3 linked regions of the Alligator mississippiensis genome follow. The protein of the gene in region 2 binds, or shares a complex with, the protein of the main gene of each other region. Links are inferred from orthologs where the notes say so. Each region holds a gene or a part of one and is shown on either strand. Other genes may lie near its edges.

Region 1 (7,746 bases), on a different chromosome or scaffold from region 2:
TGGTCTCATCTAACTGTAGAACAAAGAAAACAAACATACTGGCTCCTCTCCCCCACCCCCCAACTCAATTTGTAATGTTTTTAATACCAATTAAACTCTACCACTTCTGCTTTGCCATGGAAGCATCCGTCATAGTTACCCCAAGAATATTAAGTGACTGCAAATGGAAGGAAATGCAATTCTCAATAAGGGTTAGGAAGCAGGGTAAAACCCTTTCTTTAGTAATACATGAAGTGCATTGTAAAAACATCCGAGAACCTCAACCAAGAAACATATATGGATCAGCATTTAACCTACTGGAAAATGACTACTCTTGGGTAAATGAATAACTAGTGTAGGTGGTAACATCTTTATTTGGGAAAACTGCCTGTCTTTTTCAGCTGACTGTTGGCCACTTTTTCAGTCTCCTGTGTCATCACTTTTCCACTAGAGGCTTCAGTACCAGGCCATAGGTAGTTTACATAACAATAATTCTTTTTAAAAGTTTTTTTTAATAATTGAAAAATATATTATATATTCCCATCCATTAGCACAGTTTTGAAAAAACAAATGAAGAAATAAAGCTATTCAGGGCACATCAGATACATTTATGGTATCTAAAAACAAAATATTTCAAATTGTGAATGTTATAGTATTTAAAACTGCAATTAAGAACATAGTCTTTCCTTTGTAAGTCTCATTCCTTCAAACTTTTATTTTCTCCATTACTTCAGTTTATACAACCAGTTTAGCTCTGGGGCATCAAGCACTTTTGCAGGAGTAGCAGCTATTAAAATAAATGTATACAAAACAGGTATGTCTGTTGTCTTAATAACTTCATTGATTTAAAAATCTACAAATACCTTCATGAATAACAATCCTACATCCTCATTTGCAAGAGTGTCTTGGACTGGCTGGCACAAGTTAAAGAGTCAGGACCTAAGATCAGCTTATGGCCTGAACAAACACACCAACACATGATCCTAAATGTCTCCGTTATAAAGATTCTTCTTTTCCCTTGCACTTATACCTATACTATTTGTGCACCGTCAGGTCAGCCCAATATCAAAGGAAATCCCACATTCTACTTATTCTCTGCATATTTAAAAAAAGGGCCTGAAGTGAACTTCAAAGAAGAAAAACGACAAGGGAGTCATTTTCACCCAAATCTCCATCCGAGTCCTGCTTTCAACCAGACTAAACAGGTTAATGACAAGCCTATGCTGTTTTCCTACAGTTCCCGACCTTCATGTTTTAAAGGTTAGAAAGGCATGATCACCTAGTGCCTTGGTCAATTTGTTTCCAATACTGTCATTTATGCAATATTACTACTGAGTGCCAGCTCCAATTTGCTCAGTGTTTGCGCTCCAGGAGCAGACTTGTATTTTCTGCCAGGCTCATTACATCATCTGAAAACCCAAAACATCTCCTTTTTTTCCCCCCCAATCCTCCCCCCTTCTCAGTGCACAGCTGATTGCCCTGGAAAAGAACAAACTCGGGCTGATGTTAAAAGACTGGAAAGAGACAATTTCCAGGAGCTTCTGCTGCTTGCCAAGGCTGCCTCCATCACTGACCTTCGGGGTTTGGTTTGGTTTTGTTTTCCCCTCATTCCCACTGTTACATAACCCGGTGCTTGCGTGCAGTGTGTGCGCCTTGAACTCCCCTCCTATTGAATCCCAGGGGGAGGAGGGACATGTGGGTCAGCAGGTTACCAGTATCAAAGCCGAAGCCAGTCGGGTCGCCCTCCAAATTGGAAATGCAAATCACCCCCAACACACACACACCTTCCTATGTATCAATTGCCGCCGCCACCCCTGCCCTCCCCTGACCGGGGGGATGTAAAAGCTAGGGAAGATGCCAGCCCAGGCCGCCCCCCGGTGCGGTGCGGTGCCGTGCCGTGCCGTGCAGTGCCGGCGCCCATCCCAGCCCAGCCCGCGGCAGAGCGGGGCTGGACCAGGGCTCGAGGTTGTGTAACACCCCGCGTCCCGCGCCGGGCGGGAAAGCCCTCGGCATGTGAAAGCAATTTTCTCCAGTGTTTCTCATTAACCTCGTTACATAAGCGGCTGGCACGGCCCCGCCACCGTCTCCCCGCGGCCCCGGCTCGGCACCGGCTGTCGCGGGAGGCCGCGGCGGGCTCTACTGTACTGCGCGCCCGGAGTGGGAAGCCGCCTGGAAGGGGGGTGTGGCCAAAACGGGGAAAATACTGTAAAACACAGGGCGGCACATCATCAGCCATATTCCGCCGACAGCCCCAGCCAGGCGGCGGGAGGGGGCCGCTCCCCGCCGGCGCCCCCCGGCGCGATTGCAGCCGCTCGCCCGCGTATTTCCTCCGCGGCAGCAGCGCCGTGGCGGCCGTGCACACGCCGCGCGCAGCTCCAGGTGTGCACAAGCGGCAGCGCCGCGCACCGGGCGCGTGCAGCCCCGCCTCCAGCCCGCCGGTCCCCGCCTCGCCCGCGCGACACTCGGCCGGCCCCGCGCCGCCAGGGCTCGCCTCGCCGGCGGGCGTGCGGGCGGGCGGGCGGGCGGGCGGGCGCGGGGGGAGCCGCCCCGGCCCCGGCAGCCCGCGCCCGGGGCACAGGCGCTCGCCCGCCCCGGCTCCGAGGGCAGCCCGGCGGCTCGCAAAGTTAGTTTCCCTGGTCCCCGGCTCCCGCCGGCGCGGCCCCGGCGCCCCTCACCTCCTGCTCGCAGCAGCTGGAAAAGTTTGCGCGGTGCCGGGGGCCCGTCCGTGCGCGGCCGCCCCCCGCCCTCCGCCCCGGCTGCCTTACCTCTGCCGCCGCCGCCGCCGCCGCTGGAGTAGCTCTGCCTGCGCGCGGGGGCCGGCGCCTCGCCTTTCCGCGACGGCTCCAGGCTGGCCGCGGGGTCCCTGGCGCCGGGGGCCGCCTCGGAGACGCTGCTGCCCGGCTCGCTGGCGGCTGGGTCGGGGGCTGCCGGAGCGGACTCCATGTTTTTCCCAATGTAGATCGCTTGGAGATGGCGAGCTCCTACACTCCCTCTATCTTCTGTTTCCAGCGCGACTCTATGGTAGGAGGCAGAAGGGAGAGAGCGAGTCTGATCCAGATGGGATGCGAGCGTGTCTGGCTGTGACCACAAGCAGCGCTAGCGAGAGCTCCTCGCCCCCCCCGCTCCCTCCGCAGCTGCCCGGGGCAGGGGGAGCGGCTCCCGGCACCGACCCGCCGCCCGGGCTGCCCCGACACGGGCACGGAGGGGCTGCCGGGGACGGACTCCCGGCTCGGGGGTGGGCAAGCCAGAGCCGCGGGGGAAGCCGGCTGTGCTACTGCCCCTCGGACCTCTGCTCGGGCAGGTGACGGCAGCAGGACGTGAGGGAGGGACCCGGCCACGGCCTTTCCACGGCAGCGAGAAGGGCTCTGGCAGCCTCCCCTTGGCAAGCGCAGGGTGTGCGGAGGAGGCTAGGGAAGAGGGGGCAAAGCAAGGGGATGGGGGAAGGGTCCTCCGCCACCCCTGCCTCGCACTAGCAGAGGGAAGTCTTTGTGGGGCCCCTTCCTTGGGGTCACCTGATCCTGACCCCTGGCTAAAAAGAAGCACCACAGGGGCGAACACAGCTTTCCTGTGCAGCGGTACTGTGCAAGCAGCAGGGGTGCCTGACCCACTGGGTGTCACCGCTCAGCTGCCCTGTGAGCCCTGAGCCGGCAAAATCTGACACCAGGTTGGAGGATGGTCTGCAAGGCCCTCTCCAATGATGTCGCCTTTGGCCTAGGGGAAGGTGCGCTGTGCTGGGAGCCAGAAGACCTTGGGCTCTCTGATTGAAATATTCCTGACTGATTTTACAGATCTAGGTCTCCTAGCCCTATCCCAGAAAGCAGGTAACTGAAAGCCAGTAGTGGACCCAGGAAAAGGACATGGGAGGTGCAGCCCTCTACTTTGGCTGTGCCATGCATGTGCAGTAAGCTCTAAGCTCAGTGCTTAGTCTGGCCAGAGCCTCTGATTTTGCCAGGCTTCAGAGCCCAAGGGCTGAATGCTGCTACTGTTTGCCCTTTCTCTCCTTCCCCCTCTCCTCCCCATCCCTGCTGAATGCAGCAGAAGGGGAAAGGAGGGGATGGGTGGCAGTGCTGCACCCCTGGACGCTGTGAAAGCAGAGGCTCCAGGCAGATGCCACGCAGAGCTCATGTGCAACATAACCAGGGATGCAATTGTGTCACTGCACCTGTTCTCTATCTGCCACTGCAGGAAGCAGATATCGCTCATTCTATTTTATTACAAGGTAACAGAAGTTTCACAAGATCACATTAGAAAGAGCTGGAATCAGAACATACACCTCTAATTTAATAGCTGGAAAGTCTTACAAACTGAATGCACCAAACCTGCGTGCCTAGCTACCAACCTGTAAGCATTGTTTAATGACTAGATCACACTCTGCATCTGGGGTAGGAAGAAAATCTAGTCATCCCAACAGCCAGCATTTCACTGCCATGTAACACATAGTTGTGAAACACACCAACTGTTACATTTGTCTCTAAGGGCTGGTCCATAAATTGTATAATATCCTGCTGTGCCATTATTTGTACCTTTCTCTCAAGTGCAAAAAAGTATTCTGGGTACCAACTGTCTATGTAGGAAAAAATGATCAAATAATTACTATCCCAATGCATAAATACAGTGTGGCTGTGTGAATCATAGATGATAGAATGTATTAGTAGGAGATTGAAAGCAGCATTAAAAGATTTTTCCTTTATAATCAGACACTGTAACTTCCAGAAGGTCAGAATTTGATTTAGTAGTTATGGCTTTGAATAGAAAATAGTATTCAGGCTAAACGTTCAGGTACTTGGGGAACAGATGTCCCAAGTTACTGCTACAAAAGGCCCCAAAGCTCTTCACCCCTACCATCAGTTTGAAGTCCTCTCAGTGTAGGCTGAGACATTAAGTGACTCCTCTGATGTGAGATTGGTGGATTTGAGTTGCAGTTCTTTGCCTCACAAACACTTTCCTTTGCTTTTCAATAACTGGCAAACTCAGAAGAGAGGCCAAGAACTATATAAGCCTTAGAAACTGAACTCCTGGTTACCCTTAGAGAATTCTTCCCCTCCTCCCAGATCTGGATTGAGGCAGGCTGACCAGGCAGCATGTGTTGGGAAGCTTGCCCGGTTAATAAAAAGAGGACTTCATTCCCCAAGGCTGTCAAACCAATGCCTTTCACAAGCATTAGGAACAATGGAACTACTTGCAGGAGAAAGGCTCGCTCATGTGAATATGCGCAGGACCTGATGCTTCTGGAATTCCAGATGCTTTGAATGATCCGAGGTTTACCTTTGTTGTTGTTTTTCTCTCTGCACTTCCAAAGGTCTACAGAGATTTCATGTCCTAACCTTAATTGTGCATAATAATTTGTTGGGGACCGGAGAGGAGGGGTGGGTGTTCCTGCTTGCAAAACTGAACAGATTTTTAAAACTATTTCCCCCATTTTGCTAGGAAAAAAGGAGAGAGAGAGACAACAAAGGCTCTGACAGGGCAATGGACAAGAGTTTGTTTTTAAAAATGAGAGTGTATTCAAAAGATAAAAATAATATAAGAAAAAAAAGAGAAAGTACATGTGTTTGTAGCAGGGATTTGAATCCATGCAGAAGAGAGAATTAAAACTAAGTCTCCCAACAACCTCTCCTCTCCATAACTCAGGAGCAGTAAGGAATAGCTAAGGTAGAGCTAGAGCCTCAAGTAATACATCTCAAAGGGCAACATCGATTTACTGGAGTGTTTCAACAGCACCCACGCAACAAGCAGACAAAACAGCTCTACCTTATGTCAAAATAGAGAGAAAAACCTCTGGAGAACCTGAATTCATTGCTTGAGAAACAACACTGTTGTTTTAAATAATGGAGATGAACCCCTACGGCTGGTATGTCTATAGTGAAGTAGTACCTTGCAGCTGACTGTCCTAGTTCCACAGGATAAGTGCTGAACCCTTACAAGCCCCTAGCTGCTTACTCATATCCGGAAATCTCGAAGAGCGTGGATACTGTTGTTTGTTTGTTTATTTATGCACTGTATATGCTACCCTTCCCAACAGACACAGCAGCTTACAGGAAGTTTATGGTTTACCCCTCTAGAAACAAACTTTGTAAAAGATTCCAAAATCAGTTATTCTTTACTTTAGACAACACAAGAAATACACAGATCTAGACAAAACAAGAAACACCTACAAGGCTATTCTTGCTTTGGTTTCCTAACCACTTTGGTCCTGCCACGATTCCAACTCCTTTCTCTTTGTGGCTTCTCTGGAACTATGAGTTACTCCCTTCCATTTAGATTCCCTTAATCTTAGCTGGTTCACATGGTCCCTTCTCCCTCCTTCTCTGCTAAACCTGGTGTCTTTGTTCCTCTCTCCTTCCTAACCTTCCTTGTAAATCCCCCTGAGTTGTTTAGTAGTAGCACCAATACCAAGTTGGTTTGTTTGGCTTCTGGGGAAATTCTGCCCCTTCAAACCTTAGCTGTCTGCAGAGAGGTTGAAGAAAATTGGTTTCATCTAGGATGTCCTTACTTTCAGAGATTTATTCATAAACAAATAGTCTTTAACAATCTATCTAATCACTGGCTGACATGCAAACAGTATTCCCATATCCCTTAGCACAAGAACAGTAGTAACCCAGTGAAATAATCATGCGAAGACATGCTATAGACAGTGTGAACTGTAATTCCTAAGTTTTATGTTTCCTGAATCAGTCATCATAACACAGCAAATACTGGATTGGACCACAAGGAAATATGTCAGGATCACGGAAATAGATTCTTGCTGAACTCTGCTCCCTTACTGGGCAGCTATCAAGAATTACTTGGGGGGGGGGGGGGCATCTACACGTACATTAATGCGCCGTTGCTACTGCACATTAAGTTTAATACTGCTAATATATGGTACTACATTAATGTGCAGTAGCCAGGGCTAACGCGCTGTACTAAGAGTGCATGATCTTTTTGTTACACTTAATGCACATTAGCAAGCTTTTTCCCATTACATGCTAATGTGCAGTAGAATTAGTCTACTGTGCATTAAGCATCTCATGTATACACCCATGGATCTTTAAAACAAGCAGGCAGCTGGGCCCACTTGACTACCTCACATACAAGGCCAGTGGGGAGCCCTTCAGCCTCATAATCATAGCATGTATCCCCAAAATCCTTTTATGAAACTGTCTTTGTGTTCCCACATCTTTTCTGACCAAAACAGTGACTACTCAAGTAGAAGTTAGTTGCAACTTCAGTCAGCCACCAAGGAAAGCTTAAGTATCCCCTAGGTGTTTTGAAACAGAGGATGGTTAGGGACAGAAATTACTCATAAAGCAGTATAAATACTCCATTGTGGATAGATGGAGTATCAGACTTAACTGATTTAAATCAGTTTAAATCAGTTTATAGAACTTCTGTCCCAGATCCTCTCCAGATTCAAGTTAAGTCACAATCCCACAGCATCTCAGGATCCTTTGCACCTCCCCTGACCCACCCCTCCCCCCAGGATGAGTAGGCTATCCTTGGCCCAAGTTGTCTGCTTCAGCTGAACAGGAGGTGTGATCTAGCACCCCTTGGCTTCTGGCCTGGGCCACTGCAGGCATGTGTCTGCATTTCCAGAATCAAAAGTGAATGTCTGTTCACTCGCTTATCAGTTCAATCTACACAGCTTAGACTAACCTGTGAAGATTGAATTGGTTCAGCCTTGGGTTTTTTGACTGTTGTACTTAGCCTAAGGGGCTAAGTTTAAGTCTGGTGTGATACAACTGGGGCTGATAGGATCAGTATTCTACCTCAAGTTTAGTCAAGATT
Region 2 (8,143 bases):
TGCTCCCCCCTGTCCTCAGACTCCTTTATAGAAAACTAAACAAACATTCATAATCCCTGAATCTCAGCTGGTTTCACCCTATGAGACATTTGAGTTTGATAGCTCCAGAGTGCAGTTTAAGGTTTTACCTTACTGGCCCTACAATGAGGTATTAAGCCCCTTTGCCAGACAAGGCAGCTGTCTGGAATGCAATTCTATGGGCTTGCCTTGGGCAAGTTTAGACAGGTATTCAAAGCATAATACAAAGAGGAGTTCATAATTTGATACAGGCACATCCCACTCAGTCACAGATAGGATTAATAGCACTCCAATTTTCACTGTTCTATTGGTATTATTTAATGTAAATGCATAAAAAGGAGGGGGGGGGTTAAATTAGCTATATTACCTACTTACAAATAAGGAAGAAGAATTCCCCCTGGAAGGGCAGTGTGATAAGCCATAACCAAGCAGGCCTGTGTCTTTTTTAACAAAGCTCAGATGAAGCAAAAACTACAAGCAAGTAAGATCAGCACTGCAGTTCACTCAGGTTTGAACTCTGTGACAACCTTTAGTGAACCATTGCTTTTTTATCATTTTTTTCCTCTTGGTGTCTTGTACAGAATGACAGATTCAAGAGAAAAAACAGCTGACAAATACCGCAGGTGGTATATTTAACATTCAAATCAGCCACTGAAGTTTACCATATGAAAACATTTCTGCTTCTTCAAACAGTATGGTTTTTATTATCATAATAACCCCAAACCTCTTATTCTTCAACTTCTGCCTTTATTTTTTTTTTTTTTTTTTTTAAGGAGCACCTGGCAACTAGAAAAAGAAACTTCATTTTCATCTGAAAATCTATTTACCTACTACAGGTACAAGTCATCCTTAGCATTAGGAGTACAATTATCCAGTTTGGTTACACTGGACATTTGACAGCCCTTGATATTCAACACATTCGTGATCTAAAGAGACCAAGTGAGGTGATCTCACCTCCAACAGATAACAATCCAGGAGAACTGGCCAGTCCAAAAGAAGGACAGGTGCCCATTCACCTTCTAATGCACAATCACTAATCCCTTGTACAACCTTTGCACATACATATGTAATACTAAATGCATCATCCACTGGTTCTACTGCTTCAAAGTCAGTATTTGTTCCCGCTCATAAGGGAATGGGGACAGGTTAAAAGAGTAAGATTCCTCCACCAGAAGTTTAAGAGCAAAGAAATTGCGCCAGCAGCAGAAAACCCATATCTGTACTAAATTTTAGGTGCGCTATATGAGAGCTCACCATGACAGGTCAATTCCTGTTCCCCTTGCAGAAACCCTTCCTCAGATGCCATAAAACCATATGATGATTCTCACATGCCACAGAAGCAGGCCATTCTCACATCAGAAAACTTTTGTTTGTCCTCTGGGGGAAGGTGTGCGTGTGCACATGGCACTCCAGTGCCAAGTCCCATAAACAGCAATTCAGAATTGAACAATGAAGACACAGGCTTGGTACCACCCACTAGGAAGCGAGCGCAGATGGCCTCATTTCAGAAGGGAGGCTATTTTTTCCTCACAAGAAATTTAGTAGATTAGATTGCTCTTTTTATAAACAAACTCCATCCCTTATCTGAAAACGTCCCCTGTCATGACTCGGTTCAATTCCAAGTGGCCTGGGAGGTCCCAACCCAACGCCCAGCAGACATATGCTCTCAAAACATTACTACAATCTACCAATTCAGGCACAACTCCTGAAGGGGTGGGGGCAGAAAAAAGATACTGTTCAATCAACTCACTCTTCCACCCACCAACAGCATGGGCCAACCGTACCCCCCCCCCCCCCTTGCACCGAGTCACTCCTAAAGCCACCAACTCCATAGCTCTGAGAGACTGTCAACATGTGTCCAGCCCTCCCAGCCTTTCATGGTTACTTTAAACTAAAAAGAAAGACTCAAAAGTAACCCCCGCCAACAAAAAAAGCAAAGTGTCTGTCCTCACAAAAGCCTTTTTTTTAAAAAAATCCTACCAACTTGCCCTCAACCCCAAAAGTACATGGCTGTAGCTTGTGCTGTTCAAACTCCTACCAGGAGCAAAGAAAAATAAGCCCTCAAAGGTTGGGGGGGGGGGGGGAGGGGGAGATGAGTCACCCTTGAAGGGTTTTGGGGACAGCAGCAATGGTCTCAAGTTCCAGCAAGGGAAGTTTAGGTTAGATAGGAGGAAAAACTCTCTCACTAGGAGGGCAGTAAAGCATGGGAACAGGTTACCCAGAAAGACTGTGGCATCTCCATCCTCAGAGGCTTTTAAGTCCCAGCTAGACAAAGCCTTGGCTGGGCTGATCAGCTTGGGGATGGTCCTGCTTGGAGCAGGGGGTTGCACTAGATGCCCCCCTCACCCCACCCTGCTCCGCTGTGATTCTCTGGTACCAAAATGCCTCTCAAACAACTCACCAAGACACCCTCATGGACCCAGAGGGACTGATTTTCCATCTCCAGCTCCCTCTGTGCCAAAATGAAGTTTATTTCCTACCTACAGGGACTCTGAACCATCTTTAATTTACCCTGAGCCTGCAGAAGGGCACCCAAGCCCAAAAGCTTACAAAAAGATATACATATTTTGGCAATCTCCTAGTTAGCCTAATAAGAGGTATGGTCTCCGAACTGGGAGTTGTAGATTTCTGCATGTCTTGAAGTCCCAACCTTCTGCTTCAGAGGGAAGGAAGCCGCCCCCCTCCCCGGGGGGGCTGCACATTGGGGAACTTAAAGTGATGAGAAGGCACGTTTGGGAAGAGAAAGGAGAAGGGGAAGGGGGGAGGAGGGAACGCGTCTCCCAGCCCCACAGCAGGGGAGAGGGGATGAAGCGGGGAGCCCAGCTCAGCAGCGGGGGGAGCCGGAGGGGCTGCAGGCAGGCGGGCGGGCGGGCGGGATCTCTGTGCCTCCGGGAAGGACCCTGCCCCAGCCGGGAGGGCAAACTTGGCAGCCCTCTCGCCCCGCCCGCCCTCCCTCCCCGCGTGGCCCCGGCGTAGGCACTCACCGCCCGGGCTCGGCTGCTGCAGCGGCGGCTCCTGCGGCCGCGGGAGGCCCCGGCCCGGCCCCGCGCAGACAGACAGACGGACTGACTGACGATCGCCCGCTCCGCCCCGCCCCGCCCCGCGCCGCCCGCGCACCTCCCCCGCGATTAGTTCTAGTGCAGCGAGCGGCGCCCCAAGCCTCCGCAGGCCGGGCCGGAGCAGGAACAGGAGCTGCGGGCGAGGGGAGGGAGGAAGGGCTAGGTCCGCGCTCCAAGGGGCGCAGCCTGCCCCCGGCCTCGCGAGCCTGGGCGCGTCCCCCGCGCCGCCGCCTCCGCGCCCCGGCTGCCGAGCTGTGCTGCAATGCCCACGAGCAGCCCGCCTGCCTGCTCCTGCTGCTGCTGCCTCCGCCGCTGCACCCGCAGCCCTGGCCCCGCCTCCGGCCCCGCCCCTCGCCTCCTGCCCCGCCCCGCCCCGCCCCGCCCCCAGCGCCGCCCGGGACCACGGGGGCGGATAGGTGCCCCGGGCAGCGCCGGGGAGGCAGGCGGGGGCAGGCGCCTTTGGCTCTCTCGACTACGAGTGGGCGGCAGGGCCGGCCCCCCCCCGGCAGAGGGTGCCTTCAAAATCGTGACATGAGAGAGATGATTTCATAGGGCAGATAGATAGCTAGGAGGAAGGAAAGACGGACAGGCAACGGAAAGAAAAGAGAGAGAGAAAGAAACAGGAAAAGAGAGAGAGAAGGAAAGAAAGAGAAAAAGAGGAAGACAAAAAAAGAAAGAAGAAAAGAGACAGAAAGAAAAGTAGGTAGAAGGAAGAAAAAGAAACGAAGCAAAGTAAAGTAGATAAGTAATTAGACAGGGAGAGTTGTATATATCAGGTTCTTTATCTTTGTCCTTTGATTTTTTTATTTTTTGGTGGGGGGGAGGGGTTGCTTGTTTGTTGTTTTCATTTTAAGGCTCATATTGGTATGAAGCACAAAAGCCAGAAACTTATTTTTAAAGCGAGAAAGCCAAACGCCTCATAAACCCATACAATAGGAGCTGGTGGGGTGAAGAAAAGCAAAAATATTGCAGGGCTCGCTACATTTTCATAAGTCAGTGAAGGAGGCAGGGAAGCAGTCATCCTTTCCCCAATTCCTGCTGATTTCCACCATGGTACAAAACTTGTGTTAATATCCTTGGATTTGCAGCTTCCAGTTCTAACTTCACCAAGCTTAGTCTGAGCAAAGCCTTCAGTTTAATTCTTATGGATAATGCAAAGACTTAACATTTATTCCTGTCTACTCAAGTTCCCAAACTTACATGCTGCTTTATGCTTCCTCACCAATGTGCACACACTTCTTCACTGTGGCTTCCCCCATTTGCGCACAGAGAAGTGCCTTCCCAATTAGACCTAGTGTCTTACCAAAGCTATGTTATTTACACCTATATCAATTAATATTAAATAATGATTATGAGAGGGAAATATCATTGTAACAGAGGGAGGCCCCAAACAGGATCACAGCCCTACTTTACTAATAGCTATCTCCACCTATATGAAGAAAACCTAATAATTGTCCTGAGGAACTGCGATCTAATACCCGATTTCTCTTAAAACAAGAACTTTAATGCCGTTCTATCAAAAAAAAAAAAAAGTTGGAAGGCTGTAGATATGCTGCCGCATTTTTTTGCATATACACAAAATTGTGCGAGCTTGGTCACATCTCATTCATAGATGCAATGCCTGCATTAAAACATCCCACAAACATAACAAATGAGTTGATAAATACAGAGCTTTATGTATGCAGCAACTGAATTCTAAGCAACAGTTAGTAATGCTTACTTTATCCTTTCTTAAATATTAACTGAGAAATGTGTGTATATATATTCGCAACTGCATACAAACAAGTGGCCATCAAGAAAGCATTAAAAAATTCTAGAAATAAAGCATACTAAAACATTTAAAAGTTCAAAACAGCTGTGAGTATGTTATAGTACAGTCTTAAATGAAAAGACACAGGCAATAATGTAATTACACAAATAATACATGAATTTCAGTTAAAAACTGCTGAAAGCCAAGCTTTGCAATCAACAGACCTTATGAATGAAAGTTGATGTTCCAATATCAAGCAAAATCTCTTCTACTCTGGAATAGAGAGACTGCACTGGCTACCAGCAGAGAGCTAGCAAGCAATGACTTGACCTATTTTCTAAGCCAATGAAAGATTTAGGTGAACTTCATCATCATCATGTGTTTTTTTTTAACCACATTTTTTTCAGATGTACATCAGCATTTGCACATCCAAATGCGTGTATAAACCAGTCTCTTATTTTATAGCAAAAACTGATTTTATGGCCTCACCATGTTTCCATTCAAATGCATAAGAGTTTTGCTGCTGAATTCAATGGGAGTAGGGGTATGTAACTGGCAATATGTGATTTGAAAGAAATTCTCTTTAATTTTTAATTTCACTGAACTTCTTTATCTGAAAAATGCTTCAATGCGAAGCAGCTGAATTATCCAGGGAAAGGGAATTTTCTCATTACTGCAGCAATTTAGCAGCTATTTCAATCAAGTATGTCTGTAGTATACACCTCTTTCATTCTTAACCTGAGGGAATATCTTGCCCAGACAAGAGACCTACAAAATAAGGAATCTTGGACAAGTCATGGAATGATTGTGCATATGAACAATTATTTCATATGTTTAAAAGCAAGACATGAATAGCTTGGAAACATAGCTTGGAAAATGTATTTTTGGTACAATCAGCAGAAATAGTTACAAATAATGACACTTATGGACTGATCCATTTATTTTCCATATTCAATATATATTTATATAGGGCTGTGTTCTGTTTGCTTACGTAGACTTTCCATCAGACAGTTGAAATGGCACTATTTACCAAGTTAGATACAAATTCACACAAGTAGGGTGGAAGAATTAGTATTTACTGTAAGAATCTAGCCCACACTTCAACTTTTTTTTTTTAAATCAGTCCACCTGATTGTATCATACTGTTGGCAGTTATTTTTTGGTTTTTCATGTAGAAGGTTTTCAACCAAAGTTAAATGTGTGATCAATGCCCCGGCACAGATAAAGGACATTTCTATCCATCACATATGGATAATGTAAAATCATTGTTTTCTTACCAGCAACCAGGGTAGTTTTTCAATATTTGCTTCAGGGACTTTTCATTGTGTTAATTCACTTCTGAGTTCAAAACTGCTTTTGACAGCTTCAAATCAGACTACTTTTGGATTGCTCTTTAAAAAAATATAAATTCATAGAAGTTACTTTTGAATTGATTCCCAGAATTGTAAGCACTTACTGGAAAGTTATTGTACTGAGCTTAATATTTCTGAAGTATAAACTCATATTTGATCAAATTGGAGTCATTTTAACATACACATTACAAAAGTAAAAAACAAAACATGCCTTCTTATTACTAATGCAGACAAAAATCAAAATGCATCATCTTTTTAAGTGTCTGAAGCACATATTTGATCTTTCTATTTGACTATATTTGAAATGAGTTGAAGATACTGTTGATTTTTGCATAACTATCTGTTTAATCACCTTGATGATTAATGAAATTTCATACATGGTAAACAAATCTACAATACAGTTCAAGATACAAAAAGAAAGTCCATATCTGAAATCAAATGCAAAAAGGGATAGTATTTTTTTTCTACATGAGCTATGCAAAGGGCCCCCCTGACTACTTTGAGGGTCTCACTTTTATTTTTTTTTGTAGGGTCTCTATTATGAAACTATGAACAGCTTTCAAACTACCTTTTCAATCAGAATAAGTAGGGCCATATGGAAACCTGTCAGAATACAGTATACTTGGGACATGTTTGGAAAGATCAGTGATTTCACAGAAATATGTATATATACACTAAATCTTATTCCAATTTTTTTTTTGTCAGGATTACATGAACAAATCCAAAATTACATCCTTGACTCAGCACAATTGTACCCACTGTGTGGAAGGTCCCTTTACAGAGAAGCAAATAACCTAGTATTGTAGCCCTTACTCGAACAAAAATCACAGTGACATTTCTTATTTATTGAGGCATTGATTTAACTGAAGTTTTGCCTACATAGATGATAGTCACGCGTGGCTCCTCTACAACTCTAATAAAGAAAGTTTGAAGTGTCTGGCTTCTAATTAGTAAGAAGAAATATTTAGACTTAACTGAAATAAATAGGGACCATTCTGCTATAACTGGAAGAATAAGTCTGATACAAAATGAAAATGTCACTGTCTACATGTTAGAAAACATGAGAAAATTATTTGTGTATTTATAGGGTTTTCATGTCTAAGTTATATTTTCACTTCTTTTTACAAGCATGAACAAGGTGATTCCACAAGTACCCTCAGCACCACAAGTTCTTTCCTATGTATTCTGTCTCTCATTTCACATTCTTGTATGTTTTTTAAATTGCAATTCTTTTCAGCTTGATGACCTGCTCTAAAAATATTTTTCACTATAAATTTTTTAGAGCAATCTCCTTTATTAAAAAGTAGACTTCAGATACGACTATTTGATCTAAGAGTAATAAGCAGCTGTTTCAGTTACAAAAACTTGTGAAGCCAGTTGTACCTTATACACTCTAATGGAGACATTATATGTTTGCAGCATCTGGCTGGTTTTAACCATACCTCCAGTATACTGTACCTGTTCTCAGGCATACATTAGGGCTTACTGTATTTGCGTCTGTGTGTGTGCATGCACATGCATGTACATGAGTATATATCGATCATGAATAAGAACTGTCATTATGGCCTTATGTTTTATGGCAGGAACTAAGAAATAACAGCACACTGAACTTCTGCAATATCCTTCATGCAAGAAGCAAACAGCTTTATAAACATATATCTGATGCTTCTTCATTAACTAACATTAAAATACAGTAACATATTTTTCAGTACCTTTAGCTATAAGGACATAACCACTATCTGAAAACTACTCAAATGTAAAAATTCTCAGAACTCTCTCAGAAAAAGTCCTGAAAATTGTTCTTTCAAGAATATGACCATGAACTGATGAGTCATTAGCATTAATAGTATGAAGTCAGACCCAAAAAGTTAAACAGTCCAGTGTCACTGGTTTCAAAGATGACATCAGAAAGCCCCAATCTGGTATGTATAAGAGTCTACATGAAAATGCTCTTGTTACTCAAT
Region 3 (7,773 bases), about 93 Mb from region 2:
CACGAGGGTGGGAGTGAGGCTAGCTGGGGTATAATTAGTTGGTGGGTGCCCATGGGCTGGATGACATTGTCTGTTGCTCCCTGGTTTAGGAGCACTCAATTGTTAAACGCTTATAAAAAAATTGCTGCGCTAATGTGAACTGAGGTTTTTTTGGAAGACTTATAGTTTGGCCATATATGGGCAAATTTTCACAAAAAGTTCACTCCTAACATAGGGCAACCCCTCTGTCAAATTTAAAGTCAGTGTTCAGGATGGAGATACCAAGGTTCTCCACAAAAACCTTGTATGAATTTAACATGGGCAAAAACCTATTTTTTTCCCCCCCCCCAACATCACTGGTGAAAATGACTGGACCATTTTATCTATAATTACCTGGCCAAGAAAAATCCAACTGGAGTAGTTAAAATCTGATAGGATTATTAGCAACTGAACCTGGGGTCTTCCAGGCTTAGCAAGTGGTGGTGCAACCAGCTTCAACTACAATACATAATCTTGAAATAAAAACTAAAAACAAAAAATGACAGTTTTGGCTTAATGCGTGTTTCCTTTGATCTGATTTTATACAACATAAATCATAAATCTTCAAAAATTATGTTTTTATGATCCTACTAGACAAAGAGATAACTTACTGTGTTGTTTTCCTGTGATGAGGAATAATTCAAGTTCTTACCCTGCCTGATTAATCTCACAACTAATATTTAGAAAAGGTTTCACTTAGAGCTGATCAAACTTGGCAAAAGTAATCTTCAAACTATGCCACATTCACTGATTTGTAAGATTTTTCAAACTTCTGTTTTATTAAGTGCAGTTTAAATTAGCAATAGCACTAAATCCACTGGCTTATGACTCCCTCTGAAGCTTACAAACAGCCCATGGATCACATAAAAGAAAGCACATGCAAATCAAGATTATGACACACTGATCTCATCCAGATTGCCATTTCAGCAGTAAAAGCTTAATTCAGTGAAGTCCTTATGCTCACATTATTTTGCATTCCAGAGGTTAGTTGCTCATGGTTTGGAATGGATGAAGACAGCTCTCTGTTTTGCATTTCAGCCCAGGTCTAACAACTAATCCTTGCACTATTTGTTCAGAGAAGCTACAGTTTGATGAACAGCTCATGGAGCTCTTCACTAGGATCCCGCAGTGGGAGAATCAGGCCCTGCTGGGACAAAGTGGCTCTGAATATCATTACCTACTTTGCAAAGGGCAATAGCAAAGAGCAAAGACCTCCACAAACTGCTGCCCCTTAGAGATTCTATTTTTGCTAACCAAACTTTGAAGGATTCAGCTTGCCTTCACTTCACTGCCTTTAGTTCAGTAAATATCTTCCTGCAATAGAACAGGCAAATCCCACAAATAGCCCCCAACATGTATGTGTGAGAGGGTGTAAATGAGAGATTTGCTTATTAACATTTCCCTATCCTTCTGCAAAATCTCAATGGAGTTAAGGAGCTTCATGATCATAAAAGGGACAATGCTATCGTGGACCTAACTCAAAAGAGCAATAATGGTGTGGCCCAGTTGTTATGATGTGTAGAATTGACTGGTGTTACGGGAAATATGCAAATAACATAAAAGTCTGCCTTAATACTGGTTAATTCTTTCTCTGTTAAGGGACAGGCATTTCAAGGGAGTTTTGCAAGTATGATGGTCCAAAATGTCTTAGTTGTGACTATATGACCTCTTAGCACTGAATCAGGGGAAACAGAAAAAAAATACCACTATGCTCAAAGAGTTCTGAAACCCACTAACTAGATTCAGCTAGTATTTATTAATATATAATTTCCTTTTATTTTTGCAGACAAGCATGGCTACTAACAATGAAATATATTCCTGAATATATTCACTCCAGCCAAAGGGAGAAAAGAAAAGTCTGGGCACAAATAAATACTAATGCTAGTAATGGAAATATTCCAAAAGAAAAAATCAATCTTACAGATTATTCTCGATATCTTTAATCACCTTTGTCACCTGGGTAAATAATATTCTAAGCTACTGATTTGAATGCCTGCTTCGTATCTTCATGGTTTATTGCAAGGTGAAAATTGTGTCTGAAGGTAAGTATTGTCCCGATGCAAGCATATAAAATTACTTTCTTTTAATGAAGATTCAAATATGCTGGAGACCAGCAAGGTAGCTCCTTTCCAGACACTGCCAAGGGATTTCTGAGCGTTTGGTAAAACACTCTATCTGGGTACAGTAGACTATCAGTGAGTTATTCTATTTGTTTATATAAATGGGCCAATGCCTTTTGAAATACTTCAAAGCACTTAACTAAAGCAAACAAGCACTTGAACTTTAGATATCTAACAAGAGGAGCTATTGACAAGTATGACTTTCCTTAGTAAATCTTAATATCTTTGGGAACTATAATTCATATTGTCTCACAGCTCTGCATGAAGGAACACATCAGACTCTTATCTGAACTTGGGCTCCACAAGACTCACAATAAATGTGAAAAACAGAAGTGCTACTGCCTGCCCCCATTATTATTTTTATTCCCCTTTTACTTTCCCAAAAATGACAACCCTGGAGCCCAATAACATCATCTACAACACAAGTCATGGATACGCATTACATCTGTGGTGCTATATATGGCCCTATTACACACAGGAACTTCTATGAATCACTACAGGTAATGTGTGGACAGTTAGACGTAGCATTATAGGAGGTCTCCTGGTTCCCAGTATCCCATAATGCTGAACTTCCCCTCCTCTCCCTACCCACCAGAAAGAGAAGGAGAGTGGCCGTCATAGGGCCAATGCTACCTTGGTGAAGCAGCAGCGTAGCGTTGCTGGGGGGATTCTGCTGCCACCACTAGCAGTGGCACAGCTGGTGCCCACATGATGCATGCTGTAGTGCCAAAAATGAACATGTGTCCTTGGGCAGACCTTGCTGCTTCTTCTGACACCTGATTTCTTTAATTGTAGACGTTTATATGTTTTTTACCCTTTTCTAGAATGCATGTGTTCTTGGATGGCCATCCTAGGTACAACTTCATAGATATTTGATGCATCCCTATCTGTAAAAATGAATTTAGAAGGAATTAGAACATTGTAAGTCACTACTTTTGTTTACTAAAATATGACAGCACAGTTTGTATTTAACCTAAGTTGTTCTCCCCATGTCTACATTTGAAAGTTTTGAGCCAGCCAAATTATATTCTCACTTAACAACGTGTGCATCAGAGATGAATATTCAGAATTACTCCTGAACTTCAGCAGTATCAATGAGAACAGAAATTGGCCCTTTAAATAAAATGTCATCGGTTTTGTGAACCTACTAGACAATTCCTGGTCACCTCTCACTCCTGGTAACTGTGGTCTAGGTGGTTACACTTTTACCAAATATTTTTCCAAAAGGTGGCTAAACGGCCAGCTTATTGAGCTTCAGAAGTTCAAAGTTCAGTCAGTAGTCAAGTTTCTGAGCAGTACTTTAACGTGTTTAGCTATTTGTAAGTGTTTACATTTTCTTTGCAAACAAAAACCAAGCAAACAAAAACTCAGGCATTAGCTAAAATCACAATGAGCTTTCTGGCTTAGAATAGTAAGATCTGATCCACATATCCATTTTTGCTTTATGTATACTTCAAATATGTCAAACATCATACCGCTTCTTAGCTGGACACGGTCAAATCAGGTTTACTATTACAAATCATCTCTATTCCAGTATGAAACAGTAGAGATTTTGTGGCATGGTGGTTATGGCTAATTTTTATCTGGGGAATACCAGGAATGTAGACCACATGGCTAAGTACAGACAATCAAAAGGCCTGAGGCGGAATTGATTCAATGTTTGCAAGTTAGTCTAAGCTGCGGAGATTGAACCAAGAAGCAAGTGAACAGACATTCTGGAAATGCAGTCACATGCCTGCAGTGACTTAGGCTAGAAGCTGGGGGCTGCTAGCAGCCTTCCCTACCCTTTAGCAGTGGCCAGAAGGCTAGGGGGAAGCTGGGAGAAAAGCCCTCCAGGCTTTTCCTGCTCCCTGCATGAGCAGAGTGGGGGTGTGGGCAGGGGTGCGCCTGACTATGGTTATAGAGAGGGGTTTAAACCTGCAGGGACCCCAGCCAGGATGCCCCTGGGGTGGAGGGAAAAAGCAGCACCTGCCAGGCTTTTTCCCTACTCCCCACTGAAGCAGAGGAGGGGGTGTGGCTGGACCCTGGCCCAGGCCAGCATGCTGAGAGGGAAGAGGGGGGTGGGTTTAAATTCCCTTGCCTGCACGGGACCCCAGCAGGGGTCTGCCTGGCAGGGGCACAGCAGCCACTTCCAGGCTTTTCCCCACGCCCGGCTCGAGTGGAGGGGGTGGAGGCATGGCCAGATGCTGTCCCTGAGCCGCATGCTGAAGCAGAGGGGAGGGACAGGGGTTCAAAGCCCTCTCCCTCCTTCAGCCTGGGTCTGCCTGGCAGGGGCGCAGCAGCCCCCATCTGGCTTTTCCCTGCGCCTCGCTTGAGTGGAAGGGGCACAGGTGTGGCCAGATGCCAGCCCTGGGCTGGCACCCTGAAGCAGAGGGAAGGGAGAGGGGATTTAAACCCCGTTCCCTCCCTCAACCCAGGAGGCCCAGGCTGAGAGAAGGAGAGGGGTTTAAACACCCTCTTCCTCCTCCCTGCTTCAGGATGTAGCCTGCGGCCAGCATTTGGCCATGCCCCCACCTCCTCCGCTCAAGCGCAGAACTGCCTGGCAGGGCCTGGAGCTCCCTCTCCCCCTCTGCCTCATTCTGCCTGCTTGGCCGCAGGGTCAGGCCACCTGCCCTTTCACCACTCCAGTGGCGAGTGGGAGAAAAGTCTGGCAGGGGCTGCTCCAGCCCTTGCAGGGAGACCCGGCTGCCTTCTGAAGCCAGATTTTTCCACCCCCACCCCCTTCTCAGCTAGCCAGAGCAGTAATAGTGCTCTGGCTAGGGAGCAGACAGAACAGCTCAGCCCAGGGCTGCAAAGCATCCTGGGATGCTGGGGGACTGTGACTTAACTTGAACCAGGAAGGGGTCTGGGACAGAAGTTCCATAAACTGGTTTGACCTAAATCAGTTAAGTCTGATACTGCATTAAACCAGGTTCATCTTAAACCAGCTTCAGCCATTTTGAAAGTGGTTTATGTGCACTGACTTTCTGTTCTGTTACAGGTTTAAACCGGTTTCTGATCACTTAAACTGGTTAATGTGTAACTTCTGTCCCTTGCCCATGAGTACAAGTATGTGACAGCTAAAAAGCAGATGTTTGAGACACACCTTTCAATTCAACAGCAGGTATACTTCATTCTACATAATACTAGAACCCCTTCTCAAAGCACAGATAAGAAATTTCATTCTGGATTTGTTCACCATATGCAGTGTTAAAAATGCTTAAGGAAGCTCAGTGAAAAATCCTTTGCATGCCCCTAATTGTTGCAATTTCAAAAGGAGGCAAATTATATTTTGCAGGTGATTTAGGTGTCCTGAGATTTCACAGCGCTGGTTAAAGGAAGCTGTTATTCTTTAAATAGCATAAAGTGGGGTTAGTGGTAGCATGGGTGTATTTTACGTGGGTTTTCAGACTTCAGTTAACTAACTGACTAGAGAACGGTTGAAACTGCTTGAATCAGTAATGTAACATGAGGTGAGCGAAAGTGGCACATGCCCCAGACACCACCTAAAGGGAGGGGCACCAGAAGGATGGGGCAGGGGAGGGGTGTTCTCAACTGTAGCAAAAGCCTAACCACAGTAGGTCTCTAAACTGTCACAAAAGTAAAACCGGTCCTGAGTAGAATAAATTTCTGTTTCAACCCACAAAAGATCATTTTTGTAAAAAGATAAACACATGTTGATCTAAGAATACAATTTCACCCTTTAAAATGACGAAGTATGGTTTTTTTGTTAGATTTATCAAGAACTTCAGTGTTACAGGGCAATACCTGATGTCTGGTCAAGTGTCTTGCTGTTTTTCAAGCACTGTTCTGTTAAAAAAATAAAGCTGTATTTGAGTGCAAGAACTCCTCAGTGATAAAATGCAGGTCTAGGCACAGTTCCTCAAGGAAATAGCTTTCAAAAATCTCTGAAATACTCTGTAAGTTATAATTGGGTTTTAATGCATAAAACGGCTGAGTAATTTAAATGTTTGGAAAAGAAAACAGTCTTTCCTAGAGTTTATGAAGTGGCAAGCCTATTTCTTATAACGATTAGCTATGAATCATCACTTCAAACATGAGCATCTACTAGCATATGCTCCATACAACTGATGCTGTATAAGTCCAAAGATTTAACAAATTAACATTTAAGGGTTGATTCTGATCTTAATCTAAATCTTTTATACTAACAGTATTCCACTGATTTCAGTGGAATTATCCCTGGCGCACACTAGAAAATAGTAAATGAGATCAGAATTAGGCCTTTTCACTGGCTGAGAGCTCCTACCACATATTTTGCCCTATGGAAAGAAAACAGAAATATATATAGATATATTGAGAAAGTGGGTATATCACGACATTGTCATGGGAGACAGACAGCAACAACAACAACAGAAAGGTAACATAACACTCATTATTAAAAATGTCATAAGGAATAAATACATATTAAAGGGAGAATGAAATGAGCTAGGACCGCATAAAGTGTATGTATGGTTAACAATATCCCAAATGGCATGCTATTCTAAAGCACAGATAAAACAAGAGTAAAACAAAAGATAATATAATAGAGTTTGGAATACATTGCAAACAAGCAACAAGATCTAATTATTTGGAAAGCTCTCCAAGATCCTGTGGCTTTGGGTGAACTTAATTAAAGAGAAGGGAGAAATTAAAATGGAAAGGAAAAATCAGACTAGATAGATTGAGAGAGAAAAAGAGACAGACAACAGGACACAGGAAGAAATATTGTATCATTTTCTACACCAGAGTAATTCAAAGGTTCTATGAGCATTTTTCAATATTACAAAAATGCAAGATATAGTTTTAACATCTTGAATCCAGAGCCTCCCCCTCTTTCCAAATGTGGCACCTTAATTTAAAATATATATACAGTATACTGCTTGTAATTTATAACTATATCCATTATCATGAGTAATCTAAAAAAAAATGATGTTTTTAATTTCATCTGGAAGATCTTAAGAGCTGTAGTTATTCTGATTTCCTAAGAAAAGCTCTATTTCCCACAGTACCTGATTTCTGTAGATAAAAGTACTTGCTCTAGAAAACGTATACTGATCTCAGAGCAGAAGAGGTAGCCCTGAATTAATCCAGGTCCAATTAAAAGAGGGTTTAGAAGATTAGGGCCAGAACCTTTCGTTCCATCCAGTATTCCATGACAAACTGATAAAGAAACTAAGAGAGAAACTTTGTAAGTTGTGTATGGGTCCTACATCTATGTATGGCAACACCTATTTCCGCTACCTTGCTAACAAGGTCCTGATCCCGCAACTAGACCTGGCCAGATAGATCCCCCACAGGCCCCACAGAGTCAGCACAGTCCCATTACAATTATCATTTCCTTGTGTGAGCTCAGGAGAGTCTGTTCCTACAGAGAAGCTTCCAAAATTGAGGGCAAAGTCAACTTACTTGACAGTTTTTTCCCCAGTTTTACCCAACTACATAGCCTTTTGGACCAGACAATGGGTGCCTCTATGCATGACGCTATGTCACCATAACAACACGCTACAGCGCTGGAATGTCCACGGGTGTCTACACATGACCAGCAGTTACTTTTCCACAGCAATAGCAACGAGCTCCCTGGGTATAGCATGCCCCAAACAAAGTAGCTGATAAAAATAACTGTGCACCACCTTATTTAGTTAACTTAATGGAAGTA

Evidence for each region.
Region 1: the proteins of NRIP1 (region 2) and RORA are in contact, whole or in part, in a crystal structure (PDB 4S15), measured with the Homo sapiens proteins. The link is inferred for Alligator mississippiensis from reciprocal best matches to the Homo sapiens genes NRIP1 and RORA. Residues at the interface, in NP_001426204.1 of Homo sapiens: Thr499, Leu500, Leu501, Gln502, Leu504, Leu505, His507; in NP_599023.1 of Homo sapiens: Gln332, Val335, Lys339, Phe344, Met345, Gln349, Gln352, Ile353, Leu356, Pro505, Leu506, Glu509, Leu510.
Region 3: the proteins of NRIP1 (region 2) and ESRRG are in contact, whole or in part, in a crystal structure (PDB 2GPP), measured with the Homo sapiens proteins. The link is inferred for Alligator mississippiensis from reciprocal best matches to the Homo sapiens genes NRIP1 and ESRRG. Residues at the interface, in NP_001426204.1 of Homo sapiens: Ser378, Leu379, Leu380, Leu381, Leu383, Leu384, Lys385, Ser386, Gln387; in NP_001429.2 of Homo sapiens: Val277, Ile280, Lys284, Phe289, Leu294, Gln297, Met298, Leu301, Gln302, Lys448, Leu449, Glu452, Met453.

The regions. Positions count from the first base shown.
Region 1 is NC_081834.1:33,280,754-33,288,499, reverse strand, and holds the start of RORA (nuclear receptor ROR-alpha), read right to left. Parts: upstream 3,009-7,746; 5' UTR 2,923-3,008; coding exon 2,745-2,922; intron 1-2,744. UniProt on the Homo sapiens protein: Nuclear receptor that binds DNA as a monomer to ROR response elements (RORE) containing a single core motif half-site 5'-AGGTCA-3' preceded by a short A-T-rich sequence.
Region 2 is NC_081824.1:278,939,749-278,947,891, forward strand, and holds the start of NRIP1 (nuclear receptor-interacting protein 1), read right to left. Parts: upstream 3,381-8,143; 5' UTR 3,003-3,380; intron 1-3,002. UniProt on the Homo sapiens protein: Modulates transcriptional activation by steroid receptors such as NR3C1, NR3C2 and ESR1. Also modulates transcriptional repression by nuclear hormone receptors.
Region 3 is NC_081824.1:186,318,968-186,326,740, reverse strand, and holds the start of ESRRG (estrogen-related receptor gamma), read right to left. Parts: upstream 3,009-7,773; 5' UTR 2,879-3,008; coding exon 2,772-2,878; intron 1-2,771. UniProt on the Homo sapiens protein: Orphan receptor that acts as a transcription activator in the absence of bound ligand. Binds specifically to an estrogen response element and activates reporter genes controlled by estrogen response elements.